Callithrix jacchus: one gene and its partners. The protein of the gene in region 2 interacts with the protein of the main gene of each other region in a pairwise test. Links are inferred from orthologs where the notes say so. Each region holds a gene or a part of one and is shown on either strand. Other genes may lie near its edges. The genes, in order: ZSCAN12, LMNA and TOR1AIP1.

Region 1 (10,650 bases), on a different chromosome or scaffold from region 2:
TGTTTTGATATCTCACATTTTGCAAAAAGGAAGTGGGGGGGGGAAATGCCAGTACAGTGAGCTGTGCCTTCTATTCCTGGATCTCTGGTCAGGCCTCAGAAATCAAGCTGTAAACTCCATTAGATGCCTCCTGCAATGCTTTCAGGGAATGAGCTGATTGGCAATACAAATTCGACACATTTAAAACCAACTGACTTTGCCAGCACCGAAGAATCCCGTTCTTTCTCTGGTTCTCTCTGTGCCTCCCGAGCATCCCGTTCTTTCTATGGTTCTCTCTGCGCCTCCCTGGCTTCTCTGCTTCTCTCTGCGCCTCCCTGGCTGCTCTGCTTCTCTCTGCGCCTCCCTGGCTGCTCTGCTTCTCTCTGCGCCTCCCTGGCTGCTCTGCTTCTCTCTGCGCCTCCCTGGCTGCTCTGCTTCTCTCTGCGCCTCCCTGGCTGCTCTGCTTCTCTCTGCGCCTCCCTGGCTGCTCTGCTTCTCTCTGCGCCTCCCTGGCTGCTCTGCTTCTCTCTGCGCCTCCCTGGCTGCTCTGCTTCTCTCTGCGCCTCCCTGGCTGCTCTGCTTCTCTCTGCGCCTCCCTGGCTGCTCTGCTTCTCTCTGCGCCTCCCTGGCTGCTCTGCTTCTCTCTGCGCCTCCCTGGCTGCTCTGCTTCTCTCTGCGCCTCCCTGGCTGCTCTGCTTCTCTCTGCGCCTCCCTGGCTGCTCTGGTTCTCTCTGTGCCTCCCAAGCTGCTCTGTTTCTGCTGGTGGTTACTTCTTTCATGACCTCATCCTATCTCATGGCTTTAAATACTATGTATATTCCGAAAAGTCCCAATTCTGTATTTCTAGCACAGACCCTGCCACTGAATTCCAGTTCATTATATCCAGTTGTTTTCTCACCTTTTCTGCTTGAATTCTAATAGGAATCTCAAAATTAACATGTGCAAACGCTAACTTTTTTTCTGAGGCAGAGTCTCACTCTGTTGCTCAGGCTGGAGTGCAGTGGTGAGATCTTGGCTCACAGCAACCTCCGCCTCCTAGGTTTAACGGATTCTCCTGCCTCAGCCTCCGGAGTAGCTGGGATTATAGGCATCTGGCACCACACCCAGCTAATTTTTGTATTTTTAATAGAGACAAGCTTTCACCATGTTGGCCCAGCTGGTCTTGAACTCCTGACCTCAGGTGATCCATCCGCATCGGCCTCCCAAGTGCTGGGATTACATGCATCAGCCACCGCGCCCGGCCCAAACCCTAACTTGATTCCTGTCCCTCCATCCCAAACCCACTTCTCTCCCAGTCTTTACCATCTCTATGAATGACAAATCCATTCTATCTGATGTTCAGACCAAAAAAATGGGCATAATCCTTTACTTTCTCTCATATCCCACATTTTATATAAAAATGAATCCTCTCAAGCTCTTCCTTCAAAATAAATCCAGAATCCAATCACATTTTACCACTTCCACTGCTACTACTCTAGACCAAGTCACCAGTATCTCTTGCCTGGAATATTGCTTATGATCATTGCTCCTGAAATGGTTTCGTGCTTCTGCCTTTGACCCCTGTGCCTACCCCAGCCCCACTGTGGAACTTTCACATAGTAGCCAGAGTGATCATTTAAAAATTCAAGTCAGATTATATCTCTCTTCTATTTAAAAACTCTCCAATGACTGTCCATCTCAGAATTCAAAATTCTTACAATGGCCTACAAGTTCTGACACAATATAATCAATCTTAGAACCATTTTATTTCATCTCCTGTTTGACAAATACTACATCTCTACCATGACAAGTACATTTTCACTTTAAAATCCTCTGCCTTGGCAGGGCATGGTGGCTCACACTGATAATCACAACACTTCGGGAGGCTGAGGCAGGCAGATCATGAGGTCAAGAAATCTTACCATCCTGGCCAACATGGTGAAACCCCGTCTCTATTCACCAACATAGTGAAACACTGTCTCAAAAAAATTAGCTGGGTATGGTGGTGTGCACCTGTAGTCCCAGCTACTGGGGAGGCTGAGGCAGGAGAATCATCTGAACTTGGCTGCAGTGAGCTGAGATTGTGCCACTGCACTCCAGCCTGGTGACAGAGCAAGACTTCATCTAAAAAAAAAAAATTGACCCTCTGCCTGAATGCTGTCATCCTTGATAGCTGTGTGGCTTGCTCTTTCCATTCAGATTTCTCCTGTAAATGTCACCTATCTGAAAAGCCTTCTCTGACAAGACTACCAAAAACAGGGCTGTCCCCATTTCTTTCACCATTCCTTTTCTCTGCTTTTATCATTGTTGTTTGAGCACATTTGACTGTCACTTATATCTTGTATTTTTTTTTGGAGATAGGGTCTCACTGTGTCACCCAGGCTGGAGTGCAGTGGCATGATCTCAGTTCACTGCAGCCTCAATTTCCTAGGCTCAAGCAATCCTTCCACCTTAGCCTCCCAAGTAGCTAGGACTACAGACACCTGCCACAGTGCTTGGCTAATTTTTGTATTTTTATAGAGATGGGGGTCTCACTATATTGCCCAGGCTGGTTTGTCGATTTTTACTTTACTATCTGTCTCTCCTCAGTAGAGTAGAATCTACATGACAGCTGCAACCTCCCATGCTTTGTTCGCTGTTACATTCACGGTGCCCTAAATAGGACCTAGTCCAAACAGATATTCAGTAAGTATGTACTTAGTAATTGCCTACAGTCTTTGTTAGGAATGTCTCCATTATACTAGCGCTTTTTTATTTTATTTATTATTATTATTGTTGTACTTCAGATTCTGGGGTACACGTGCTGATCATGCAGGATTGTTGCACAGGTACATACATGGCAAGGTGTTTTGTTGCCTCCATCCCCTCATCACCTATACCTGGCATTTCTCCCCATGTTATCCCTCCACCCACCCAACTGTTTTCCCTGTAGCGCCCCCAGAAGCCGTTATACTAGTCTTTCAAGCTTGAAATCCCTAGTGTTTAGCTTAGATTGCTCTGTAAAGATTTCTCCATTGGTTCTTCCTTCTTTACTTAATAGATCTGTCATCACTTCCAAACAATTCTTACCTAAGATAAGCCTCATCCTTGGTAATCACACTTTCATGATCCTATTTCTTTCTTTGTTTTTGTTTTGAGACAGAGTCTCACTTTGTTGCCCAGGCTGGAGTACAATGGCACAGTCTTGGCTCATTGCAACCTCTGCCTCCTGGGTTCAAGTGATTCTCCTGCCTCAGCCTCCCAAGTAGCTGGGATTACAGGCACGTGCCACCACGCCTGGCTTACTTTTGTATTTTTAGGGTGGTCTTCAACTTGTGACTTCAGGTAATCCACTCGCCTTGGCCTCCCCAAGTGTGAGGATTATAGGCATGAGCCACCGCGCCCAGACTCATGATCCTGTTTCAAACTAAGATCTTTTTGCCATGTTCCTACCCTCTTTATTGTCTTTTGTATCACAGTGCGAGATGATACTTCTGTTTTATCATTTCACCAAGTTTCAAACTCTTTATAACAGGGTTTCCTAGTGCCTACCCTCTTTACTGTCTTTTCTATCACAGTGCTAGATGATACTTCTGTTTTATCGTTTCACTAAGTTTCCAACTCTTTATAACAGGGTTTCCTAGTGTTGCCTCTACTGACATGTTGGTTCAGATAATTGTTTGTCTGAGGCTGTCCTTTGTGTTGTAAGATGTTTAGCACCAGCCTTGCCCTCTCTACCCACTAGATGCTAGCAGCACCTCCCTGAGTTGTAACAACCAAAAATGTCCCAAGACATTGCCAAATGCCCTCCGGGGCACAAAATCGGCACTGGTTGAGAAACACTGTCTTATTTTATTGTTAAAAAGAAAACAAAAAAGTTCTGCATAATTTGATTCTCTTTTACATATTACAATTAGTGAAGCTCATTTAGACTCAAGGAGAAAAGGTTGGGGGGGGGGTCTGTCCTACAGAATAAAATCTCAATCGTTGAGATTCAAGGTCCTGGACGCTATCTCAACTCTTCTACTCAGAATTCCCCTTTCTAATCTAACTGGGCTTTCTACTACTCAAAGCAGCATGGATCCCTGCCCTGCTCTCCTCACTAACTTTCCATTGTACTCCCACATCTCAATCCCTGAAATACTTAATTTCTCCATTTTAACATCTTGTAATAGAGTCAGAGCAATGCATATATCTGCAAAACCTTAATTCTTAATTATTTGTATTGTGCAATAGAGGGATGCCCTTTCAAGAGGCTGCTTCCCATCCTGCTGCTTTCATCTGATACCTGGCCTTAGAAGTCTTCTAAGATGAGCAGTATGTTTATCAAACAGAATTTTGTAACTTAGTAAAGAAATATAAAATCCTTCCACAGAAAAGTTACAAATAAGTTTAGCGCATTAGCCAATTTTCCATGAAACTCATGCCCCTTTCTGGTGCATCAAACTGTCAAGAACATGCTTTGTGGAAAAAATGGCTCTTCTTCACTCTGGCACAGAAATCCACAATTTATCTTTTCTCAAGCAGAAGTCACATCGTTTCTTTCTCACCCTGTCTCCGGGCTCATCCAGCTCTCTCTCTAAATCCTCCAGCACAGTCACCACGTCCTCCCCACTCTCTGGATGCTGCCCCTGCACCCAGGCCTGGAGCTCCTCAGGTAGGATGGTCAGGAACTGCTCCAGCACCAGCAGCTCCAGGATCTGTTCTTTGGTGTGGGTCTCTGGCCTCAGCCACTGACGGCAAAGCTCTCGGAGTCGGCTCAGAGCCTCACGGGGACCAGATGTCTCCTGGTAGCACAACTGTCTGAAGTACTGACGGAAGACCTCTCTGCTATGGCTGCTGTTTTTATGCAGGTTCCAGTCCCGTCTGGTGGTAAACTTCTCCTCCTCCTCTATCTTTACTTCCAAAGGTTCATCCTGGTCCATGTGGGCCTGGATAGCCCAAGTGGATGCCATTTCAGCTGTGCAAGAACTATTGGTGTTTCAAGTAAGATCTCCCTGGAAAATTTCTTCCTGGACCATCCTGAGGAGTAAGACATTATTATTAATACAAGCTACACCATAAAGGAGAACTGCAAGTGCTGAGAACTTGGAAAGCCGGCCTCCAGATTAATGTACAATACTCAGAAAAATACTATGATAGAAAAGACTTAAGATTTGACCAATTTAAAGAGAAAGACTGAGGAAAGGTGCCGAGTTGTTTCAGGATAGAAAAGACTTAAGATTTGACCAATTTAAAGAGAAAGACTGAGGAAAGGTGTCGAGTTGTTTCAGGATAGAAAAGACTTAAGACTTGACCAATTTAAAGAGAAAGACTGAGGAAAGGCACCGAGTTGTTTCAGGATAGAAAAGACTTAAAATTTGACCAATTTAAAGAGAAAGACTGAGGAAAGGCGCCGAGTTGTTTCAGGATAGAAAAGACTTAAAATTTGACCAATTTAAAGAGAAAGACTGAGGAAAGGCGCCGAGTTGTTTCAGGACTTTAAGAAGAGTAAGACTTGTTAGTAAACTTATTCTCATTTGGTCCTAAATGAAAGACAAATAGAATAAAACTAACATTCAGAATAAGTAAATAATAATGATGAAAGGTTGGGACACCCTTGATTAGTTACTTTTATCTTTTAAATGTCCAGATGTCTGCTGGAAACCGTGAAATCATAAAAGCAACAAAGTAATGCAAATGTATTTCCTCAGGGACTTAATCTTTCTGCTCATTCTTCATTTATAAAGCGAGAGGTTACTCTTTAAGGCATCCCTCCACCCTCACGGTCTGTGATTATAATCTGAAGTGAGGCAGGCCCAGGAAAGGGTCCCTAGGACGCAGGCCAGCGTGGGCGACTCGCCACTGTCCAGGAACGTCGGCAAGCGCTGACCCCAAGGATACACAGCCCGAGGCAAACCTGGAAGGTATGAGCCTTACAGCCGGGAATTGCCGCAGACACTGGGAACCGACCCCTCATCCCCAAAGGGTCCCAACGCACTTTGGGGAGGGAGAGCTTCCCGCGGATCCGCCCGGGATTGGGAGGACTGGGGTGCCCTCTACACCAGCCAGAGCCTGAGGGGCCCACCGGCGGGAATACGGCAATCTCCCGCCCACCTGCTCGCCCCGCACAAAGGACAACACTGCTCACCTGCGGCCGCCGGCGCCAGCACAGGACTCCCTCCTAGCGAGCGAAGGGCGGAGGCCTCCAACCCTTTCCGGAAGCGGAACCCATCAAAAGTGATCCACAAAGGCCGGAAGCGGCCGCGGGGGGGGGGGGGGCGCACTTCCGCAGTCGCTCCCGGAAGGGGGCCGGAGGGGCTTTCGCCTCAGTAGTGTTTCCGCGCGCCCTCGCTAGAGCGAAGCTGAGCGCTCTCAGGCCCGCGGGTAAGAGGTATGGGTTTATCTTCCTCCTTTTCTTTACCCAGCCATTGTCCACACTTCCCCCGACCCGACGGGGGGACTGATTTGCAGGGTTGCTAGTTCCCAGCCAAAGAACTGAAGACTGGGAAACCCCTTGCGTCTCCATTCGCTTTGGGTCCGGAGGTGCTTCCCGACACCACGCTTGGTGGTGCCGAAGGGACTCCTGCCACACACACATCCAGAGGGCCAGCCTACTGGTTTCTGCTGGCGATTTCGCCACCCACGATTCTCTTGATGCTCTTTTTTATGCACTTATGATACATTATACACCAGAAAGCCCAGTTCAATGGAAAAGCTATATAAAAAGAATAATTTAGTAAATTAGCAAGATATAAAATTAACACACTAAAATCAACGCCCTTCATATATGTGAATAGTCAATGATAACGAGTTACGAGATAGAATGGAAGAGAATTCCATATTTACAATAGCAACAAAAAAAGTGAAAATAGGAATAAACAAGAAATGAGCAAAACTTCTCCGGGGGAAGCTTTAAAACACTCCTAAATGGCCAACTGTATATTAAACAAACAGAAAGCAATATGCTGTTCTTGGAAAGACTCAAAGAGGTCAGTCCTCCCTAAATATGTATGCAACTATAGTATTCCAACAAAAATATCAACCAATATTGTTCTGTAATTAGATAACTTGATTATGAAGTTCAAGTGGGGACATAAGTAAGAATAGACAGGAAACCCATGAAAAAGAACAATGGTGAGGGACAGCCTTTTCAGATACTGGAACATACACATATTATTTTAGTTAATTAATAGACAAAGAATATACCAGAAATAGATGCAGGTATATAAGGATATTCAGTGAGTGATGAAGGTGACATCACATATAAATGGGAAAATGAATCACTTAGAAGTTGTACTGGGATGACAACCATTTGGCAAAGCTAAACTGGATTTCTATTTTCCACCACACATTGCAATCGACATAAATTCTAAATGGATCTGAGATCTAAATGTAAAAAATCCACCTATACATGTATTAGAAGAAAACATGAATAATAGTTCTAACACTGGGAAGGGGAAACATCTAATAATATGACTCAGAATCCAAAAGCCTTACAAGTAACAAATCTGACTACATGAAATTAAAATGTATTGTTTGTCCAAAAAAACACCACAAGTAAAGAAAAAGGTTTGCAACATATAGAGAAAATGACCAGAAGATAGTTGACAGAATAAAAATGCTAGCAGCCCCCAAACATCTGTAAAAAATGTTCAACTTCACGCAAAATATGAACATACAAATTAAAAACTATGCTGAGTGAGGTACCATTGGCCATTAGATTGGCAATGGTCCAAAAGTTTGACAGTACATTCTACTCATGAGGAAGGGGAAACTCTTAACATATTCCAGTGGGAATGCAAAACGGTGTGACCCATAGGTGGGAAAAATAATACTATACAGCAAAATTATGTATATAAGTTTACCCTTTGTTCCTGCGATCACTTCTAGAAATCCATCTCAAAGATACTTTGACAAAAATATGAAGTGATGTACACACAAAATTAAATGGGATCAGGGGAGACCTGACTTTTAAAATGCGAAATATGAGGGAATGAAATTGAGAAATACTCAGCAGGATAAATGGATCAGGGCTTCATCATTGACTATGTGGGGGTTAAGAGAACCAAAAAAAGCCTGGCATCATCAGAGGATGGTGGTCCCTCCACCAAGACCAGGGACACTAAATGACAGGTAGCATGTTGAGAAGAAATGTATGAGCTCAGCTTGGTCACGTTAAGCTTGAAATCCTGGAAAGCATCACACTGTCGATGTTGCTATTTGTTAATGGATTGGTTTAGGGATTTGTGGGTCTAGGAGTCATGAGAAAAGAGTTAGCTTGAGATCCATATTTTGGAGCCTTCTACCTTTCAGTAATTGTTAAAATGATTAAGATAGCTCACGAAGTGTGTGGTGCTAAAAGACAGCCTAGGACAGATTTCTGGAGTGCCCTTTTGTAGACTCTTCTTTCAGGGCATCTGGGGAGAAGGGAGAGAGATCCCTCCTCATACGTTGCCAGGGCTCAAATCTTATGTGAAGCCATACAACATCTCAGAAAACAACAGACACAGAGAAATTATTGGACAACTTGAATTCAACCTGGAACTGAACCTCAAGCTCACTTTTGGGTTCTTTTCTAGGCATCTAGAAAGATTTTTACAACTCAGTGTTTTCCGAGTTCCACTTGGCATGACTTACTGCAAGAAGCTGATATGGAAATCTCACTTAAAAAGTCAGCTTGCACCAAGGATGACTGACTTGCCGCAGTTCCCAGGGACATAGGTAAAACAGTCAATTTTTTGTCATAGGTGCACTGTAGCCACAAGAAAAGAGCATCTAAGCACAAAGAGATCTTAAGACAGAGAGAACTCTGAGTAAAACCATTCTCCATCTTTTGACTCTGGAGAAATACAGGGATATAGAGACAAAGAGCAGATAAAAATGGATCTCCAGAATACCTTTATTTTAAACAATTTTTGCCTAATGTTATTACTGACGCTTTTTGGCCATTTTACTAACCAAATAACTCTAACATTTAAAAAGGAGAAAGTTTCTTGTGATATATTGGCAAGCCTTCTAACTGCCCTTAAAATCAAAAGGGAAAAAAAGCAGATGTTGAGATCCAGAACTCAAGGAATAAGAGAAAAGGACTGCAGGAAGTATTTCATTTACAGATTTGAAATTGGAAGCCGAAAGCAACACAAAGTTTTATGATGTGAATTCTGTGAGCTTCAGAAAGTATATAGTTGAGAACACAGAGACTTGAGAGAAAGCATAGAGTGAGAACACAGGTAAATGTATCTAAAGGCAGAACTCTCAGGGTTCACATGGGCACAGTGAAGCACATAGTGAGAACACAGGTTACTAGATCTAGAGGCAGAACTCTCAGGGTTCACATGGACACAGTGAAGCATATAGTGAGAACACAGGTAAATAGATCTAGAGGCAGAACTCTCAGGGTTCACATGGACACAGTGAAGCTTATAGTGAGAACACAGGTAAATGTATCTAAAGGCAGAACTCTCAGGGTTCACATGGGCACAGTGAAGCATATAGTGAGAACACAGGTAAATAGATCTAGAGGCAGAACTCTCAGGGTTCACATGGGCACAGTGAAGCATATAGTGAGAACACAGGTAAATAGATCTAGAGGCAGAACTCTCAGGGTTCACATGGACACAGTGAAGCATATAGTGAGAACACAGGTAAATAGATCTAGAGGCAGAACTCTCAGGGTACACATGGACACAGTGGAATGTTTTGCTTCCTGTCTACACCTCTGATCGGAGAGTCCATAACTAGCTGTTTTTTTTTTAAAAAAACAAATAGTGTCTAATTGATGAACTACTGATATCATTTGGTTTTTGCAGGTCATCTCTCAGCTGTCTTGAAGGAATGTGCAACAGATTAAGAAAAAGTCTGAAAACTATTTCAATAGGTCCATGCTGGTAAGCAGAAACTGAGCCATGTAACTGCATACAACTTGAATAAAACCTTGTTTTAAAAAGTGAGTTAAAAAAGTAAAAGTGAGTAAAAATTTAAGCTGCCCTCCCTCCCAGGGAGACAAAAATAGGAGCTGAGAATAGTAACATAATCATACATTGAAGATTGTGATTTAAATTCCAATAGAATATTGCAGATATTCAATAGGCACTGTTTAGAGTAAACAAACAAAAAAACAAGAAAGCAATAGAACCAAATTGCTTAGTGATGTGGAGGTGGCCATTATGAGAAGCAGGGATAGAAAAGGCAGCCCTCAGGAGTACTGGGTAGTGTGTCAGATGATAAAGTAGATCTGTTGCTTTTCATCATAAAACCTCGTTTGCTGTTTGATTTTTTAAATATTATAAACCTTTCAGGGCATAGTGTTCTATAAAAAATTATAAGCTTATCTTACTTTGATTAGAAAAAGACAGTAGCATGTTGGCAATTTTCATGGTTAAAAAGAGAGAGAGAGAGAGAGAGAGACAACAGCAAAAGAAAAATTAAAGGGCAGTGGTGCATGCCTGTAATCCCAGCACTTTGGGAAGCCAAGGAGGTAGGATCACTTGAGGCCAGGAAGTTGAGGCTTGCAGTGAGCCATGATTGCACCACTGCACTGAAGCCTGGATGACAGAATGAGACTTGGTCCCCTAAAAAGGAAAATTAACATTTTGTGTATTTGTCGAAATGCAGATGCCCAAGGTGAACAATGCCCAAAGTGAACGAGATGAACATATTAACAAAATAGTAAAATGTACCTGTGCTAGAAGCATCCACCAGGCAGTTTTGTTTAACACAAATGATTTCTTT
Region 2 (10,102 bases):
GTGTGGGAAGGGCAGGAGACAAAGGTACCCCTGTCTCTTTGGGAAAGAATGGGAGGAGAAAGAGGGGAAAGCATTCATATCATGGGGTAGAGCTCTGCCGTTGGCCCCAGGCACGTTCCTGAACCCTGAGTCATGGGCAGGGTGGAGAAGCAGGAATGGGGTTTTCAGGGACCTTGGGGAGGTGGGAGCCCAGCCCCAGAGGCAAGCAGATGGAAACCAACCTAATGCAAGGATGCCCTCTCCTGGTAGTTGCGGGAACAGCAGCACCAGCCCCCATGGCTGACCTCTAGGGAGCCTGGTACTGTCTAGGTATGCAGACTCCTTTTCTTAAACCCACTCTCCCCTCTCTTCTTTAGCAATACCAAGAAGGAGGGTGATCTGCTAGCTGCTCAGGCCCGGCTGAAGGACCTGGAGGCTCTGCTCAACTCCAAGGAGGCCGCACTGAGCACTGCTCTCAGTGAGAAGCGCACACTGGAGGGCGAGCTGCATGATCTGCGGGGCCAGGTGGCCAAGGTGAGGCCACCCTGCAGGGCCCGGCCATGGCCCCACCTAACACATGTACACTCACTCTTCTACCTAGGGCCTCCCTCAGGAGGTGCCTGTCTGACCTGTCACCTGATTTCAGAGCCATTCACTGGTCCTAGAGTCATTTCACCCACTGAGGCCACATTTTTTTCTTTTTGAGACGGAGTCTTGCCTGGTCACCAGGCTGGAGTGCAATGGTGCCATCTTGACTCACTGAAACCTCCGCCTCCCGGGTTCAAGCAATTCTCTTGCCTCAGCCTCCTGAGTAGCTGGGATTACAGGCACATGCCACCATGCCCAGCTAATATTATATTTTTAGTAGAAATGGGGTTTCACCCTGTTGGTCAGGGTAGTGTTAATCTCTTGACCTTGTGGTCTGACTGCCTCAGCCTCCTAAAGTGTTGGGATTAAAGCTGTGAGCCACCGCTCCCGGCCTGGCCACATCTTATCCTAATTTGGCCACCCATGGGATCTAGCAGAGTGAATTTAAAATAATTGAGGCCAGGTGTGGTGGCTCATGCCTGTAATCCCAGCACTTTGGGAGGCCAAGGAGGCAGGATTGCTTGAGCCCAGGAGTTTGAGACCAGTCTGGGCAACACAGTAAGACTCCATCTCTAGAAAAGAAAAATTTAAAGAAATTGGCTGGGCATGGTGGTGCACACCTACAGTCCCAGCTACTTGGGAAGCTGAGGCAGGAAAATCATTTGAACCCAGAATCAGAGGTTGCAGTGAGCTGAGATTGTGTCATTGCACTCCAGCCTGGGCAACAAGAATGAAACTCCATCTCAAAAAAAAAAAAAAAAAAAGAATAGCTGGGCACAGTGACTTATGCCTGTAATCCCAGCACTTTGGGAAGCAAAGGCAGGTGGATCACCTGGGGTTAGGAGTTCAAGACCAGCCTGGCGAAACCCCATCTCTACTAAAATTACAAAAATTAGCTGGGTGTGGCGGCAGGCACCTATAATCCCAGCTACTTGGGAGCCTGAGGCAGGAGAATCGCTTGAACCTGGGAGGTAGATGTTGCAGTGAGCCAAGATCGGGTCACTGTACTCCAGCCCAGGTGACAGAGTGAGACTCTGTCTCAAAAAAATAAAATAATAAATAAAAGCTAGGAATCAGAAGCGCCGGGCGCCATGGCTTGTGCCTGTAATCCTAGCACTTTAGGAGGCCCAGGTGGGTGGATCACCTGCAGTCAGGAGTTCAAGACCAGCCTGGCCATCATGTTGAAACCTCATCTTTAAAAAAAAAAAAAAAATTAAATTAAAAAAAAAAAAAAAGGAGGCCGGGCGTGGTGGCTCACGCCTGTAATCCCAGCACTTTGTGAGGCTGAGGCGGGTGGATCACGAGGTCAAGAGATCGAGACCATTCTGGTCAACATGGTGAAACCCCGTCTCTACTAAAAATACAAAAAATTAGCTGGGCATGGTGGCGTGTGCCTGTAATCCCAACTACTCAGGAGGCTGAGGCAGGAGAATTGCCTGAACCCACAAGGCGGAGGTTGCGGTGAGCCGAGATTGCACCATTGCACTCCAGCCTGGGTAACAAGAGTGAAACTCCATCTCAAAAAAAAAAAAAAAAAAAAAAAAAAAAGGAATCAGAAGCAGTTTGTTCCTAATTTCACAGTCTCATCTGTTCACAGCAGGGCCAGGATTAGAGTCAGTGGCCAAGCTTCCATCCCGGGTGCTCGCCCTTCCCAGGCCCTGCCACCACAGTATAACAGGGAAAGACCTGGAGAAGCCAGCAGGTTGACCACCAGACCACCTTTCTCCTGGGTCTGACCTCCTGCCTCCCAGCTCTGCCCTTCCCCCAGCCCTTCCTGGTCAGCCGGTGCTTCCTTGCCGTCTTTTTCTTAGAACATAGACACGTTCTCTCTATGTTGTCCAGGCTGGTCTTGAACTCCTGGCCTCAAGAGATCCTCCTGCCTCAGCCTCCCAAAGTGCTGGGATTATAGGCATGAGCCACCATGCCCGGCTACTTTTTTGTATTGGACATAGCTTTTCTTAGCACAGTACCTCCCGAGAGGGTGTGAGTGAATGCTCTGACCTCTGCAGCCATCCAAGACCCTCCTTCCCTGGACCTGTTTCCACATGTATAAAGGGGTGCATGGGCAGCAGCCCACCTCTCAGCTTCCTTCCAGTCCTTGTGTTCTGTGACCCCTTTACGTGACCTCTGCATGCCTCCTCACAGCTTGAGGCAGCCCTGGGTGAGGCCAAGAAGCAACTTCAGGATGAGATGCTGCGGCGGGTGGATGCTGAGAACAGGCTGCAGACCCTGAAGGAGGAACTGGACTTCCAGAAGAACATCTACAGCGAGGTGGGGACTGTGCTTTGCAGGCCAGAGATGGGGCTGGGTGATGACAGACTCGGGCTGGGGGGACCAGCTGCGTGCAGAGCTCACCTTCCTGAGTCCCTTGCCCTAGAATACAGGGAGTTGGGCATAGCCAAGACCCAGCTCCGAGGTTAAAGTGGGGCTGGCAGTGCCTCATGGGGTACAGCGGGGCAGGGAGCCCGGCCCCTGGGTCTTGGTCTCCCAGGAACTAATCTTGGTTTCTGGGTCCTTGCTCCCACCCTTCCAGGAGCTGCGTGAGACCAAGCGCCGCCATGAGACCCGGCTGGTGGAGATCGACAACGGGAAGCAGCGTGAGTTTGAGAGCCGGCTGGCGGATGCCCTGCAGGAACTGAGGGCCCAGCATGAGGACCAGGTGGAGCAGTACAAGAAGGAGCTGGAGAAGACTTATTCCGCCAAGGTGCTTGCTCTCCCCTGGTTCCCTCACTGCCTCTGCCCGCAGCAGCCTACCCTTGCCCACGCTGGGCTGTTCCGCCGGGGAGATCAGGCAGATGGTGGCAGGGAGCTCAGGGCGGCCCAGGACCCAAGGCTGTGGCAGTGATGCCCAGCTCAGGCCTATCCCTCCACCCTCCTGGTCATCACCGTCCTACCCTTGTGTCCTTCCCTCCAGCTGGACAATGCCCGGCAGTCTGCTGAGAGGAACAGCAATCTGGTGGGGGCCGCCCACGAGGAGCTGCAGCAGTCACGCATCCGCATCGACAGCCTGTCTGCCCAGCTCAGCCAGCTCCAGAAGCAGGTGATACCCCACCTCACCCCTCCCTCCAGGGGCCTGGAGTCTGGGCAGGATGCAGGCTGGAAGCTCAGGGCCGGGTTGTGGGGGGTGTTCCTGAGGAGGACAGGGACAAACATGTCCCCAGGACCACAGAGAAGGGTCGCAAGATGCGGCATCAGGCGGCCTGTGTGCTGCTTCTGCACTCTTACCTTGCCTTCACTTCTCAAGGCTTCGATTTTCCCACTCGGAAATGGAAGCTGTTCTTAATCTCCCTGACTCAGAGTTGCCATAAGACTCTGCAATGTGAGGTGTTAAAAGCATCAGTATGATTCTAGCTGGCTGTGCCATCTGTGATGGGAGAAAAAGGGTCTAGCCTCAGAGTGAGAGATTTCAGTTAGACAAGGGGACAAGGGGAAGGACTTCCCAGTTGCCAGCCAAGACTATGATTAGAGCTTGTGATGGGCTCTGGGGAAGCCTCTGATTGCAGATCCTGGAGAAGGTGGCCATGTCCCTCCTCCTCCATACTTGGGGCCCTTGGGAGCTCACCAACCCCCCCAATCCCCTCCTTCCCAGCTGGCAGCCAAGGAGGCGAAGCTTCGAGACCTAGAGGACTCGCTGGCCCGTGAGCGGGACACCAGCCGGCGGCTGCTGGCAGAGAAGGAGCGGGAGATGGCTGAGATGCGGGCAAGGATGCAGCAGCAGCTGGATGAATACCAGGAGCTGCTGGACATCAAGCTGGCTCTGGACATGGAGATCCATGCCTACCGCAAGCTCCTGGAGGGTGAGGAGGAGAGGTGAGTTGGGGAGGCATCGGGGAGGTGGTGGCAGTGGCCTCTGGCCAGCCACTGGCCCTGACTAGACCCCCACTTGGCCTCCCTCTCCCCAGGCTACGCCTGTCCCCCAGCCCCACCTCGCAGCGCAGCCGCGGCCGTGCTTCCTCCCACTCGTCCCAGACACAGGGTTCAGGCAGCGTCACCAAAAAGCGCAAATTGGAGTCCACCGAGAGCCGCAGCAGCTTCTCGCAGCACGCACGCACTAGTGGGCGCGTGGCCGTGGAGGAGGTGGACGAGGACGGCAAGTTTGTCCGGCTGCGCAACAAGTCCAATGAGGTAGGCTCCTGGTCAGGGTCTCAGGGGGTACAACTGCATCAGTGAGAGAGTGGCAAGACAGAGGGATGACATGCGGAGAGAGGGTCATCCCACCCCTCAGAGGGTGGACCAGAGTGAGCCTGTATATCTCCTCCACACTCTAGTTCCAGGCCTTGCTCCTGGACTCCTTGGCTGTGAGATCTTCAACAGGTTCTTTAACCTTTCAGAGTGTCAGTTTCCTCATCAGTAAAATGGGATCAATAATGATCCCTAAGTCTTTGAGTTGTCAGGAAGATGACAGATAAGGTATCCGTGTGCCTGGCGCTGCATATGTGTCCACAGATCATGGCTATTATCCCCAGGCGGAAGGGCAGGGACAGGGGTGGGTGTAGATGGAAGAAAGCCAAGATACAGCCAGGAGCCTGGGTGAGCCTCCCCCACCTTCCTCTTCCCTATCTTCCTGGCAGGACCAGTCCATGGGCAACTGGCAGATCAAGCGCCAGAATGGAGATGATCCCTTGCTGACTTACCGCTTCCCACCAAAGTTCACCCTGAAGGCTGGGCAGGTGGTGACGGTGAGTGGCAGGGTGCTTGGGACTCTGGGGAGGCCTTGGGTGGCAATGGGAGCGCTAGAGTAAGTGTCCTTTTCTAATCCCTCCTCTCCAGATCTGGGCTGCAGGTGCTGGGGCCACCCATAGCCCCCCTACTGACCTGGTGTGGAAGGCACAGAACACCTGGGGCTGCGGGAACAGCCTGCGCACGGCTCTCATCAACTCCACTGGGGAAGTACGTATGCCGGGGCCGGGCTGCTTCCTAGACGAGGCTCCCCCTAGTGGCCAACATCGGAGCCAGCTGCCCCCAACCCAAGTTTACCAATTCAGGGCCCCTTTCTAGGGCTCTCTGGTGCAGGCCCCAGATGTTCCCAGCCAGTAGGCAAACCAAAAGATGCTTCCCCAACAGCACGCGGGGTGGAAGTCAGACAGTGAGTGAGGATTGCTAAAGGCAGAATCATACTCCTACTCGGAGAACTTGACAGTGTCCCTCTGGGGTAGAAATGAGTTCCTTAGCTCCGTCATCGCAGAGGGCAGAGTAAGCAGCAGGCTGGACAAAGGGCAGGCCACAAGGAAAGCTGCAGGTGGTCACTGGGGTAGACATGCTGCACACCCCTTCCCTGGCCCTGACCCTTGGGCCTGGTCCTGTGTCCCCGCCAGGAGGTGGCCATGCGCAAGCTGGTGCGTTCAGTGACTGTGGTTGAGGACGATGAGGATGAGGATGGAGATGACCTGCTCCATCACCACCACGTGAGTGGCAGCCGCCGCTGAGGCTGAGCCTGTACTGGTACCACCCAGCCAGGCCTGGGGGCAGCCTCTCCCCAGCCTTCCGTGCCAAAAATCTTTTCATTAAAGAATGTTTTGGAACTTCACTCGCTGGCCTGGCCTTTCTTCTCTCTCCTCCCTATACCTTGAACAGGGAACCCAGGTGTCTGGGTGCCCTACTCTGGTAAGGAAGGGAGTGGGAACTTTCTGATGCCATGGAATATTCCGGTGGGAGCAATGGACAAGGGTCTGGATTTGTCTCCTGGGAAGGGGACAGGAGGACAGACGTGGGGCATGCCCGCCCTGCCTCTCTCCCCCACTCCTGTTGCATGCATATCCTCTCTTTTCCCTCATTCTTCCTGTGAGAATGTTCTCTCATTCCTGCCCCCACTCCAATGAATAGTGCGTGCCTCCTGCCCTATAAGCATGCTCCCTTTCCCTCTTCTTTCCCTCTTAAGCTCAGAGTAGCTGGAGCAGAGTCAGAGTCACCGCTCTGGTTCTCTGTCCCCAAGTCTTGCTGAGCCTTCTCCTATTTCTCATCTTCCTTCCCCTCCTCCCAGCCCCTGGCCTCCCAAACCCCTGTTACCCACTGGCTCCTTGGGCACAGAACCCCACCTTCCTGCCTGGTGGCTGGAGCCTGCAAGAGCCCAGAGCCTGGGTGTTGGGCCTGAGTGGTCAGTCCCAGACTCGCCGTCCCGCCTGAGCCTTGTCTCCCTCCCCAGGGCTCCCACTGCAGCAGCTCGGGGGACCCCGCTGAGTACAACCTGCGCTCGCGCACCGTGCTGTGCGGGACCTGCGGGCAGCCTGCCGACAAGGCATCTGCTGGCAGCTCAGGAGCCCAGGTGGGCGGATCCATCTCCTCTGGCTCTTCTGCCTCCAGTGTCACGGTCACTCGCAGCTACCGCAGTGTGGGGGGCAGTGGGGGTGGCAGCTTCGGGGACAACCTGGTCACCCGCTCCTACCTCCTGGGCAACTCCAGACCCCGAACCCAGGTGAGTTGTCTCTGCTTTGTCTCCAAGCCCTGCAGGTGGGTCCCTGGTCATCGAGGGGTAGGATGAGGCGGCCTCGCAGGGGGGAGAGCCTGCCTTCTCTTCCGCAGCCCGGGGGAGTGGGAGCCTCCTCCCCACAGCCTGAGGCCTAGACGGCCCACCCCTGCATCCTGCCCCTTGTCTGAGCCCCAGACTGGAGGGCAGGGGCAGGGCTGGAGCGTGAGGGATAGGGGAGACACTACCTCCCTTCTAGGGACCAGGGGAGGGAGGGTCCAGGTCCAGGCCCTGCTGCTCACACCTCTCTCCTCTCTCTTCTCTCTTAGAGCCCCCAGAACTGCGCCATCATGTAATCTGGGACCTGCCAGGCAGGGGTGGGGGTAGAGGCATCCTGCTTCCTCCTCACCTCATGCCCACCCCCTGCCCTGCACCTCACGGGAGGGGGCTTGAAGCCAAAGAAAAATATGCCTTTGGTTTTTTTCTTCTGTATTTTTTTTTTCTAAGAGAAGATATTTTCTACAGTGGTTTTATACTGAAGGAAAAACACAAGCAAAAAAAAAAAGCATCTATCTCAATCCTAATTTCTCCTCCCTTCCTTTCCCCTGCTTCCAGGAGACTCCACGTCTGCCTTAAAACCAAAGAGGGCTTCCTCTAGAAGCCAAGGGAAAGGGGTGCTTTTGTAGAGGCTAGTTTCTGCTTTCCCGCCCTGGCTGCCGCCCCCACCCCGGGGACCCCGTGACATGGTGCCTGAGAGGCAGGCATGGAGGTTTCTCCGCCAGCCTCCTCTTGATGGCAGGCCCACTTGCCAGGCCAGCCTCCGAGAGGGAGAGAGAGGGAGAAGAAGAGAGAGGATGGCTTGAGCCAGCCCTTGGCCCTTGCCTCCCACGATTCCACTACACCTGGCTGAGCTTCCTCTGCCTGCCCCACCCCCAGTTCCCACCCTGCCCCCAACCCCGGGGTGATTCCATTCTTCCAGGTACCAGCTGCGCTTGCTTTTCTGTATTTTATTTAGACAAGAGATGGGAATGAGGTGGGAGGTAGAAGAAGGGAGAAGAAAGGTGAGTTTGAGCTGCCTTCCCTAGCTTTAGAGCCTAGGTGGGCTCTGTGCAGTCACTGGAGGTTGAAGCCAAGTGGGGTGCTGGGAGGAGGGAGAGGGAGGTCACTGGAAGGGGTGAGAGCCTGCTGGTGCCTGCGCCACAGAGAAGGAAGGCAAGAGACGGGGTAGAGGGGTGTGGCAGTGGTTTTGGCGAACACTAAAGAACCCTTGCCTCCCCATTTCCCATCTGCACCCCTTCTCTCCTCCCCAAATCAATACACTAGTTGTTTCTACCCCGGCTGCTGTGGTGTCTTTGTTGGTGGACGGCGCTTTGTGTACTGAGAAGCAGATTCGCGGGCATGCATGCAGGCGAGGTGCGCGCGCGCGCACGCACACACACACACACACACACGCACACACACACACGGCACCACACACACAGAGCCACACAATCACTGCATCCTCCTGCTCATTGCTGCCCAGCCCTTCGCTGCTCCAGAGAAAACAATTAGAGATCAGAGTACTTTGGGTGCACATCTGGGCACTCGGTGGTAGCTGAGGGAAAGGCTTTGATAGAAGCATCACTACCCGCTGCGTGGCTCTCCCAGTGAAAGTCCTTCAGAGAAGCGGAGCCTGAAGAAGGGCGTCTGCTAACCAACTTCCCTTACCCACCAGCAGTTACTGAGTGCCTTCTCCGTGCTGGGCCCTGAGCGAAGCCTGAATCTAAGACATATGATATAGACCCAGTCTGAGGATGGTGACCTTATCAGGACGTAGGGACAAGGACACCCCGGGGAGGAGGGAACAGAAACTACAGGAGAGGGCAGAGGAGAGGAGCAGTTAATGTCCCTTTGTGCCACGTTGCGCTCAGTTTGGGGGATTGGTAAATGAACAAGACAAGATGGCCAGTGTCCTCAGGGAAAGTACACCCCGGTGGGAGTCAGAAAACAAACTGTCGACAAAGGGAGGTGTCCGGACAAGTAGCCTCAGGGTGCTCGAACCTGGGGGCCAGACTGAGGGAGGGGTCCCAAACAGGAAAAATGAATTCTATAAGCCAGCCTTTCTCTGGCCCTTCCTAGTTTCCAAAGCATTTCTTCAACATCTCATTTGGCCTTCATTCTTTCTTGAGAGGTAGGTATTGGCTTCTAGGCCACTGGAACTCAGGCCTCTCAGCTCGAAGGTGGCACAGTTCCCAAGATTCTGGAAGTTTATTTATGTTCCCTGGGCAGAGCTGAGCCTGCCATCAGGAGTCAGTGAGAAAAGGGCATGTCTGGCTAGGGTCATGGGAAAACGTGAGAAAGCAGAATGACTGAGAGCAGAAGGGCCCCTGGGGTCATGCTGGACACTCCTGATTACACCATGGGCTGAGACCCCACCGTGCCTTTGGGGAAGGGAGGTTCAGAGGAGGAAGGTAGGCCGGGCGCAGTGGCTCAGGCCTGTAATCCCAGCACTTTGGGAGGCCAAGGTGGGTGGATCACAAGGTCAGGAGCTGGAGACCATCCTGGCTAACAGGATGAAATCCCATCTCTACTAAAAATATAAAAAATTAGCTGGGCGTAGTGGCATGCACCTATAGTCCCGGCTACTCAGAAGGCAGGAGAATCATTTGAACCCAGGAGGCAGAGGTTGCAGTGAGCCAAGATCACGCCACTGCACTCCACTTGGGCGACAGAGGAAGACTCCGTGTCAAAAAAAAAAAAAAAAAAAAAAAGGAAGATTTGAGGAAGGGGTCCCTGTTTGGGTTGGGCAGTTTCAAAGAAGGAAACCCTTCCTCTCCTAGGCCTCAGCAAAGACCCTGAGGCCCCACAGATATGGGGTCTTAGATGTCAGCGAAGGAGTCGCGTGTCTCAAAGCGAAGACGCCCTCCTGCAGTTCCTGAGCTGGGGGCCTGGGGGCGCCAGAGCCCCATCACGGCGGGCGAGGCGCCTGCACATCCTGGGTGGGGGTCCTTCGCTGCTCGCTGAACCCTGGTGGGCTGACTGCGCAGGCACTGTGGGCTGGGGAACGCTGGGGGCAGTAGGCGACGTTCCCAGCTCTTGAGGAAGAGGGCTGAGGGCACAGGGCCGCACGCAAACACTGCCCCACAATCTGGC
Region 3 (10,102 bases), about 6.9 Mb from region 2:
TCAATTGATTTTCGACAAAAGTGCAAAGGCAGTTCAACTAAGAAAAATATAATGTTTTCAATAAATGGCGATTAAACCCTTTAGAAGACAAAAACAAAACTCTCCTGACCCTTCCACACCTCACAGCTTAAAATATTAAAATGTAGTATAGGAATAAATGTGAAATTATAGCACTTCTAGAAAAATCGGAAATCTCTTTTTTTTTTGAGACCGAGTTTTGCTCTTGTTACCCAGGCTGGAGTGCAATGGTGCAATCTCAGCTCACCGCAACCTCCGCCTCCTGGGTTTAGGCAATTCTCCTGCCTCAGCCTGAGTTAGAAAAAAAATTCTTAGATATATCATGAAAATACAATCAGCAATAGAAGAAAAGCAAACTGAATTTTATCAAAATCAAAAACTGCTCTGTGAAAGACACAGCTAATAAAATGAAATGAGAAGACTCAGATTGGGAGAAAATATTTGCAAATCATTTATCCTACAAGAAAAACTTCTTTTCTATTTTTTTTTATTGTACTTTAGGTTCTGGGGTACATGTGCAAATCATGCAGGATTGTTGCATAGGTACATATATGGCAATGTGGTTTGTTGCCTCCATCCCCGCATCATCTATATCTGGTATTTCTGCCCATGTTATCTCTCCCCAACCCCCACCCCCGCTGTCCCTCCCCTGGCCCCCCCAATAGACCCCAGTGTGTAATGCTCTCCTCCCTGTGTCCGTGTGTTCTCATTGTTCAATACCCGCCTATGAGTAAGAACATGCGGTGTTTGATTTTCTGTTCTTGTGTCAGTTTGCTGAGAATGATGGTTTCCAGATTCATCCATGTCCCTACAAAGGACAAGAAATCGTCATTTTTTATGGCTGCATAGTATTCCATGGTATACATGTGCCACATTTTCCTTGTCCGGTCTATCGTCAGTGGGTATGTGGGTTGGTTCCAGGTCTTTGCTGTTGTAAACAGTGCTGCAGTGAACATCCATGTGCATGTGTCTTTATAATAGAATGATTTATAATCCTTTGGATATATACCCAGTAATGGGGTTGCTGGGTCAAATGGAATTTCTGTTTCTAGGTCCTTGAGGAAGTGCCACACTGTTTTCCACAATAGTTTAACCAATTTACACTCCCACCAACAGTGTAAAAGTGTTCCTGTTTCTCCACATCCTCTCCAGCATCTGTTGTCTCCAGATTTTTTGATGATTGCCTTTCTAAGTGGCGTGAGATGGTATCTCAATGTGGTTTTGATTTGCATTTCTCTAATGACCAGTGAAGATGAGCATTTTTTCATGTGTTTGTTGGCCTCACGTATGTCTTCTTTTCCAATCTACCCATCTGACCAAGGGCTAATATCCAGAATCTACGAAGAACTAAAACAGATTTACAAGCAAAAAACAAACAAACAAACCCATCCAAAAGTAGGCGAAGGATATGAACAGACATTTTTCAACAGAAACTTTTTTTAAATAAATTAGACATCCAAGTTTTTAATCACCTGGGATTTATCTGAATATTTTTGCTCTTTTTATTAAATTCTCACTGTTGTCTTATAAAATGTGCATTTTAAAAGTTGAACATCATTTATAGTGTACTGTTGTTTTTTATTTTTTAGATCAAACCACCAGATCATCTAGTAAATATACAGAATCATTTTGGCAGTCATCACAAAGTAAGTAAAGCCATGTTTACAGGTCTCCCTGTGGGCTTGGTCAAATGCTATTCCTATTTTTGAAGATCCTCTTTTGAAATTTAATGTAAATATTGAAAAAGAGGAATAATGAATGCTAAAAAAAAAAACAACTCATCCGATATCTCTCTACCTCTTGACCTCACTTATTGAGTTGTTATTCTCTATACCCAAACCTGAATTTGAACTTAAAAAACAAACTAAAAACTACTGCTTCCCATGATTTGTTGAATGTTTTTGCTCGCGATATAAATGGGTTGTTTTTATTTTAACTGACTAATATAGTAGTTTGAGTCTATTTATATGGACTTACCCTAATAAGGACATAAAATTTTATATTAGTACAATTTCAACTCTGTTGTAAAAGTTTGGAAGGATGAGCCAGGCATGGTGGCTAATGCCTGTAAACTCCTGAGGTCAGGAGTTCAAAACCAGCCTGGCCAACATGGTGAAACCCCATCTCTACTAAAAATACAAAAATTAATTGGGCATGGTGGTGCATGCCTATAATTCCAGCTACTTGGGAGGCTGAGGCAGGAGAATCACTTGAACCCAGAGGCAGAGGTTGCAGTGAGCTGATACTGCACCAGTGCCCTCCAGCCTGGGCAACAGAGTGAGACTCTGTCTCAAAAGAAAAGAAAACGTTTTGAAGGATGAACGAATAAGTGATGGGTACATAAATATTCATTTCAGTCTTACAACTGAAAATTTTTGTGATCAAATGTTGAGAAAATATAACAAAAAAAGATTGGAAAGTAATAGACCAAAATGCTAGTAATGATTTGCTTAAGAATCATTGGTGACATTTTTTTTTAACTTTATTTTTTTCTTTTCTTTTTTTTTTTTTTTTTTTTTGGGACACGTTCTCACTCTGTTGCCCAGGCAAGTATAGTGGTGCGATTATGGCTCACTGTAACCTCGAACTCCTGGGTTCAAGGGATCCTCCTGCCTCAACTTTCTGAGTAGCTTAAACTACAGGCATGTAAGTTTTAAATTTTTTGTAGAGATGGGAGTTTTACTGTGTTGCTCAAGCTTCTCTCAAACCCTTGGGCGCACCCATTTCTCCCACATCGGCCTTCCAAAATGCTGGGATTGCACGTGTGAACCATTGCGCCCAGCACCTTTATTATTTTGGTACTACTATTGTTTTCTTTTGACATTTTTAAATCAAGTCTCCCAAAATCTGAGTTAATTATTATTTTTTTTTGAAGTATGAGTTATGAAATCTGGTTTAAAACTGAGCTAATTATTAATCAACCAAAAATATCTTTGTAAAATCTTAAAGAACTATTTTTTCTTCCACATTACTTTCTTTTCTTAAGAAAAAGCCTTTGGAAATCCGTTTTATAATCATTGTATTTATAGAATTCAATTTTATATATTTATTTAATTTTAATTTTTAGAAGGTTTTGGATTTGTTACTATAAAATGAATTAGCTGCTGGAAAAAAATGAGTTGTGGAAATTACTCTTCTAGTTATTTTATGTATTTTCCCTATTTTACCCCAAATCTTTGATTTCTGGAGACTCTTAAATGCATCTGCCTGTATAAAGGATGTTATACCCGTGCAGTGAAATACTATTAGGACAGGCGTGGTGGCTCACATCTGTAATCCCAGTGCTCTGGGAGGCTGAGGCAGGTGGACCAGGAGTTCAAGACCAACTTAGCTAACATGGTGAAACCCTGTCTCTGCTAAAAATACAAAACTTAACCAGGCATGGTAGTAGGCCTGTAATCCCAGCTACTCGGGAGGCTGAGGCAGGAAAATCACTTGAACCCAGGAGGCAACAGCTGCAGTAAGCAGAGATCTTGCCACTGCACTCCAGCCTGGATGAAAGAGCAAGACTTCATCTCAAAAAGAAAGAAATAGTGTTTAGAAATGAGAAATGAGTTAGTTCATTGTATTCTAATGAAAAGGTGATCAAGATATATTTCATTGACTCTAAGATGCCATTGGTTTTATGTATCAATGAGAAAGAAAAACCATCTAATTAAACCATGCCATACCATAGATTAAAAGATACAGCCGTAGTCAAAGGGCACTCTGAAAAAACTATGTCTTTGAATTTGATGAAAGAAAATATTAAGTATGTATCCAGTTTTTTGAAAGTATTTTTTTTAGTATAGACTGAAAACAAAGCTGAGAGAATATATGTCTACCTCATTTACCATAGTATTTCTGTGTTCAATGTTTTGCACATAGTAGATACGTAACAGATAGATATTCACAAATTTTTAAATTATGCATTTCTAGAATGACACTTTTTTTTAAACAGGTAGCATATGTTTGTATTGAGAAAAAGTTGAAAGTAAATAAATGTAAATTGATACATGTATGTATCATCAAAGAGTAATTCGTTTCCTCAGGGCAGATTTGGAAATTTCCCTTGTTATAATTGTAATGTCCTTTTCTAGTCATCCCATTGTGTCCTTTTACAGTTATCCTCAAATAACCACCTCAAAACCTGAAGCAGCATCTTTTACTTCATAGCTACTTTGCAATGTCCATAAATCTGCATAGATAGTACATACCATTTCTCTATGGTATGGTATGTGGTATGTGATATGGACTGCCTGGATTTGTATCTCAGCCCCACTACTTTTAGATATATAATTTGGGGAAAATTACCAATTTTGATTTTCCCTTATTTATAAATAGGAGCAATAATAGTATCTACCACATAAGAATTAAACAAAATTGGCTGGGCGCCTAAAATCCCAGCAGTTTGGGAGGCTGAGGCAGGCAGATCATTTGAGGTTAGGAGTTCGAGACCAGCCTGGTCAACACAATGAAACCCTGTCACCACTAAAAATACAAAAAAATTAATCAGACGTGGTTGCGCATGCCTGTAATCCCAGCTCCTCGGGAGGCTAAGGCAAGAGAATCTCTTGAACCTGGGAAGCAGAGGTTGCAGTGAGCTGAGATCGTACCACTGCACTCTAGCCTGAATGACAGAGTCAGACCCTGTCTCAAAAAAGAAAAAAAAGAAGCAAAATTATGGTCAATAGCTGATACACATAGACTATATGTAGTCATTATTTTGATGGTATGATCCTAAAGCTGAGTCCTTGTTGTTGTCCAATTCCTAAACATTTTGAAGTTTAGAAATTTGAGGGAAAGAAACACAAACACATGCTTTGTGTATATATATATATTCTATATGTATGCTTTAAACATAAATACTTTATTTACTTATATGCTTGGAATTTAGAGAATGTTTTTTGTTTGTTGTTTGTTTTTAGTATCCACAGTAAATAAACAAAATGTCTATGTAACATCTTTTTTGTTGTTATTGTCAAGTATTCTATGACCTTATCCCTGTTTTCTGTTTCAGGTCAAAACTTCACAGCTCATGATAAGCAATCTTCAGTGCTAAGTAAGTAATTGGTTTTCTGTTCTTTTTCAATCACTTCTAACCTTGCCTTATTCTCTCCACAAAAGTTGTAATAAGATTTTAAGTCATTTTACCCCTTCTTACCCTTTTTAATCCACCTCAGATTGGTACTGCCTGTAATAATTATTCTGTGATGTGGAAATGTGTTCAGGGCTATTTTACCACAAGTAATTTATATTAGGTAATAGTATATTTATTTGCTACCTGCTTTGCTATATAGGAAGTGGTTCATCCTCACTGGGACAGGATCATTTGAAATTGTCTTTTATTTATAAAACTCTTGCTTTTTTTGTTTTCTTCCCCTGCTTTATTTTGTGTTTCTGATAGATTAATTTTATAACACTGGAATATGGTATAAACTTTCAAAGTATGGGAAATTATCTTTTGACATATGTATTTGCTTCAGGCTCAGGATATCAAAAAACTCCCCAGGAATGGGCTCCACATACTGCAAGAATAAGGACTAGGATGCAAAGTAAGTAAATAAATCCCTGTTATTGAATTAATCCTAAGTGTATTTGCTAGATTTTGCTTGACAAAAACGTTGAGTTCTTCAGATAAACGTTTAGGTTGTTTGTGATTTCACTAACATAATAAAGTACAGCTATGATTACTAGTTGAGTAATTTCCATTTGCTTGGTCTGGCAGCACATGGGCTGGGTGTAGAATGTAAATGGTGGCTTGGGAAAACCAGACATCGATGGGTCTTAACAAGCTGTCAGTTCTAGCAGCAATACAGTCTGTATACAATAATGAAATTCTACTCTTTTGACAATACCCTGTTTTTTGCTTTTAGCAGGCTTTGCATAAATAACCACTTGGAACAGCTTTGTATACTCATAATTTTACATAATAAAGGCTGAAATGCACAAGTTATATTTTCATGTTTAGAGATTTTTTTTTCTGGTTGTTTTGTTTTGTTTTTGAGATGGAGTCTCCCTCTGTTGACTAGGTTGGAGTGCGGTGGCACGATCTCAACTCACTGCAGCCTTCCCCTCCCACATTCAAGCAATTCTTGTGCCTCAGCCTCCTGAGCAGCTGGGACTTGCAGGCGTGCACCACCACACCCAGATAATTTTTGTATTTTTGGTAGAGATGGGGTTTCGCCATGCTAGCCAGGCTGATCTTGAACTCCCTGACTTCAAGTGATCTGCCCGCTTCAGCCTCCCAAGGTATTGGGATTACAGGCATGAGCCACCACACCTAACCCCATGTTTAGGTTTTGAATGGATTAAATATCACAGAATTTAAGGAATACTATAAATTCATGTGATAAAACCATCTACTTTGAACTCAGTTTCTGTAATTTCTGTAGATAGGTGTCCACATTTAAATCTTGACCTATTTTTTTAAAGTCTATGCATATTCTCTGCCTTAAGTGACCTTTAACCTCTGTCCCTTTACTCATCTAGCCACAATAGGTCTTGAGGTCATCAGGTATTCTTACTTTTATTTAGATAATATAAAAATCCATCTCTTGCTCTTAGGATGATTACCTCTGTTATTGGACCAGATGACTTCTGTGGCTCTGCTTTTCCATCAGTAAAGTAGGAGTGGTCACAGTTCATTTTTTCTCAGCAGTGAAGTTTTTTTTTTTTGTGAGACAGAGTTTTGCTTTTTTTGCCCAGGCTGGAGTGCAGTGGTGCTATCTCAACTCACTGCAACCTCCGCCTCCTGGGTTCAAGCAATTCTCCTGCCTCTCGAGTAGCTGGGATTATAGGCATGTGCCACCACACCCGGCTAATTTTGTGTTTTTAGTAGAGATGGGTTTTCTCCATGTTGGTCAAAGTGATCTCAAACTCCCAACCTCAGGTGATCTTCCTGCCTCAGCCTCCCAGAGTGCTAGGATTACAGGTGTGAGCCACCGTGCCCAGCAAGAAGTGAAGTTTTTAGCCCACATATAAGTGAGTTTTTTGGCAGCCTAGAACTGAAATAACCTTATCCCTTGTCTTATTGTTAGTTGTCATTTCTTATTGCTTCGAGTGTGTGCCTGCTTTTAGAAGACCATTTCCTCTTATAATTTGCTCTTCCTGACCTATTATAGTTAGGAAACCAAATATTAATTATTCAGCCTATTAGAATTATGTTTATAACAAGAATCAAACATTTAAATTTGAAGACCCAAGAGATACTGTTGGATGTAAAAATGCATGACTTTTAGTATATATAATGTAAAAAGCTCAGAGACTTTTTACGTCATTTCTAAGTTCTTATCTATATATTCTGAGGAGTTAATATCAGATAAATGGCTTCCAGATACGAGAAATTAGTACATACTTACCAAAAAATGTTTTCATAATGTTTTTCTTCTAATAAGATACTGCAGTACAGAAGGAAAACTAATTATATTGAACATGTAATTGAAGTGCAGAAATTGATCTCTTTAGTTGTTAACTTGATAGCTAATTTTTAGTATTTTATCTGTTTGCATTTCTACTTTGTCTTAACTTACTATATTTATTATAGCTTACAGAATTATACATTGATTGCTAGCCACCTACCATATATAGATACCACATTGAGCTTTCAGAGTTATGTAACAGTAACATACCAGAATTGTACATGTAATAGGATCTTTTAGACTTTAAACCACATGAGGACTTTAAGATAGAACAATGAGCAAGAAGAAAATATTTTCAATGGAGGTGGAAGACTACAGTGATTTTCACACAAACTTATATAATAGATTCCTCTTTATGACTATTAAAAAATGTTTTTATATATTTCTTTATATATTTCTGCCTGCTTTCATGGGGGAATAAAAGATCTGAGTGTTTTTAGATCTGAGTGTTCAAGAACCTTGGACTATAGATTCTACCCCATGGAACATTATCACCTGATGTTGGCACCAGTTTCCTGGATAGACAGGTCCTAGTTCAGGTTACTGCCTGCATCCAAACCTTTTAGGAAAGATGGAACCACTGTCTTTACTTTTTCCTATTTGCCTGGTGATCAAACAACGATTATAGAGAAGGATATATGTACGTGGAGAGGTCAGAGCATTAATATAAATGTTTTGGAACCTGTCTGAGAAATTTAGGTAGAGAAAGGAAGACAGTTTGGAATTAAAGCTCTTGGGCTCCAGTCCTAGTTCTTCCACTTACTACTTGAGTAATCTTGGTAAAATCACCTTTGTGATCCTCAATTTTCTTGCCTTTAGAGACAATAGTGCCTATAACTAGATTATTGTAATGAGCTTACATGTGTAAACACCGTTTTTTAAAGTCTAAAATCTCATAATTATCAGGACTTATTTATCGTTAACAAGGTATTCTGTAGAATCAATAGCAACTATGGAAACTATGGAGGATTTGTGCCCTCTACTCTTGATGGTTATAGAGTGATTGTCACCATACTCTAGATTAGAAAAGCTTGAGTTTTTCTTTTCTTTTCTTTTTTTTGGAGACAGAGTCTTGCTGTGTCACCCAGGCTGGAGTGCAGTGGCGCTATCTTGGCTCATTACAACCTTCACCTCCTGGGTTCAAGCAATTCTCGTGCCTCAGCCTCCCAAGTTGCTGGGATTACTGGCACTTACCTCCACACCCGGCTAATTAGACAGGGTTTCACCATGTTGGCCAGGTGGTCTCAAACTCCTAACCTCAGGTGATCTGCCTGCCTCTGCCTCCCAAAGTGCTGGAATTACAGGTGTGAGCCTCCACACCTGGACAGATTTTTTCTTTTAAAAAGATGTTTCTTAGAATTGTTAGCATCTGTAATAATGTTAATAAGAAGGATAGCAGTGACCCTTTAGAAAATGTCCTGCCTTGGCAGTATATACCCTGCTGTATATGTGTTTGTGTTATATGAATTACCTAAATATTATATGTGGTACATAATTATTATTTAGTTGTTCTTCATTATTAACATCATAGAATTGCACTTCACAGCATTTTTGTGTATATTATCTCATTTGATCTTTGCAACCATGGAGTGAAGTATTCAAAATAAACATTATCTGATGGCTTTGGGTTTTGTGTGCTCAGGTTTTTAAAATTTTGTTATTTTAGTTGTAACTTTGAAATCCTAACTTAGAAGCTTCTAAATAATGAAATGTCCTAAGCTAAACTAATTGAAAAACAATATTCCTTTTAGAGTTGCTGTCATTTTGTCTTATATCATTATGGAGTTTTTGTCATATGACCAAAAATAAGGCTATTCTGAATCTTAGCAGTGCTAATATTATTCCTCCAGTTATTCCAGTGTTTCTCAAATGAAAGTTGTTGCTATAATGCTAAGAATATTCACCAGGAAGTTCATTTATATATACAAAAGTTATAAAAGTCCAGGCAAGTGATAGATGGCAATACTGGTAATATAGGTCATATGAATGAGATAACTGAGCCTCTCCACCTTCTGAAGCCTGTCCCTCCATATCCTCTCTTAGATTTTAAAACCTGCTAGTATGCTTAGAAAGATGGAAGTGAAAGTAAAGGGTTAGGATAGTCTTTAATTTCTTTTTATTAATTTTTTTTAAGAGATGGGGTCTCACAGTGTCGCCCAGGCCTGTCTTAAATTCCTGTGGTCAAGCTGTCCTTTCACCTCAGCCTCTTGAGTTGTTGGAATTATGGGCATGAACCACTGTGCCATGCTTAATTTATTTTCTAAACAAATTTAGAGGGAAGTAGAGATTTGATGGAGTTGCGAGAAAATTGTTTTTGAGCTCTGTTGTTTAACCACAAGCCTAAAACAGAACTACTTAATTACTTGTCTATTAACAGAAATAATGAAAAGTTTTTAAATGTGATTTTTAAATACTACTACTATTTGAAATGGTCAGAACCCCCAGAGGAAATATTGAATCAGTTTGAGGTAGAAAATAATGAGGATTAAGATTCAGTTTTATATTAAAATACCTTATCCAGAGAGCTCAGTAGTCTATAATCCACATTTTGTCCTTTTTTCCCCCTCTTTACAGCATCTTCACCAGGCAAGAGTTCAATATCTGGCAGTTTTTCAGATGGTATAATATGTTTTGTTTTATTATAGTGTGCTTATTTTCTTTGTCCTTTTTATCCTGGAAGTTTC

The links.
Region 1: the proteins of LMNA (region 2) and ZSCAN12 interact in binary tests that used the Homo sapiens proteins (3 or more experiments, as listed by UniProt). The link is inferred for Callithrix jacchus from reciprocal best matches to the Homo sapiens genes LMNA and ZSCAN12.
Region 3: the proteins of LMNA (region 2) and TOR1AIP1 interact in a two-hybrid assay, tested with the Homo sapiens proteins (2 studies listed by BioGRID). The link is inferred for Callithrix jacchus from reciprocal best matches to the Homo sapiens genes LMNA and TOR1AIP1.

Annotation. Positions count from the first base shown.
Region 1 is NC_133505.1:2,712,093-2,722,742, reverse strand, and holds the start of ZSCAN12 (zinc finger and SCAN domain-containing protein 12), read right to left. Parts: upstream 6,153-10,650; 5' UTR 6,068-6,152; intron 4,960-6,067; 5' UTR 4,893-4,959; coding exon 4,488-4,892; intron 1-4,487. UniProt on the Homo sapiens protein: May be involved in transcriptional regulation.
Region 2 is NC_133519.1:16,525,073-16,535,174, forward strand, and holds the end of LMNA (lamin), read left to right. Parts: intron 1-356; coding exon 357-513; intron 514-2,712; coding exon 2,713-2,838; intron 2,839-3,100; coding exon 3,101-3,271; intron 3,272-3,481; coding exon 3,482-3,607; intron 3,608-4,156; coding exon 4,157-4,377; intron 4,378-4,469; coding exon 4,470-4,692; intron 4,693-5,138; coding exon 5,139-5,246; intron 5,247-5,337; coding exon 5,338-5,457; intron 5,458-5,882; coding exon 5,883-5,972; intron 5,973-6,709; coding exon 6,710-6,979; intron 6,980-7,299; coding exon 7,300-7,326; 3' UTR 7,327-8,302; downstream 8,303-10,102.
Region 3 is NC_133519.1:23,462,193-23,472,294, reverse strand, and holds part of TOR1AIP1 (torsin-1A-interacting protein 1), read left to right. Parts: intron 1-1,607; coding exon 1,608-1,664; intron 1,665-5,017; coding exon 5,018-5,059; intron 5,060-5,483; coding exon 5,484-5,552; intron 5,553-9,992; coding exon 9,993-10,037; intron 10,038-10,102. UniProt on the Homo sapiens protein: Required for nuclear membrane integrity. Induces TOR1A and TOR1B ATPase activity and is required for their location on the nuclear membrane. Binds to A- and B-type lamins. Possible role in membrane attachment and assembly of the nuclear lamina.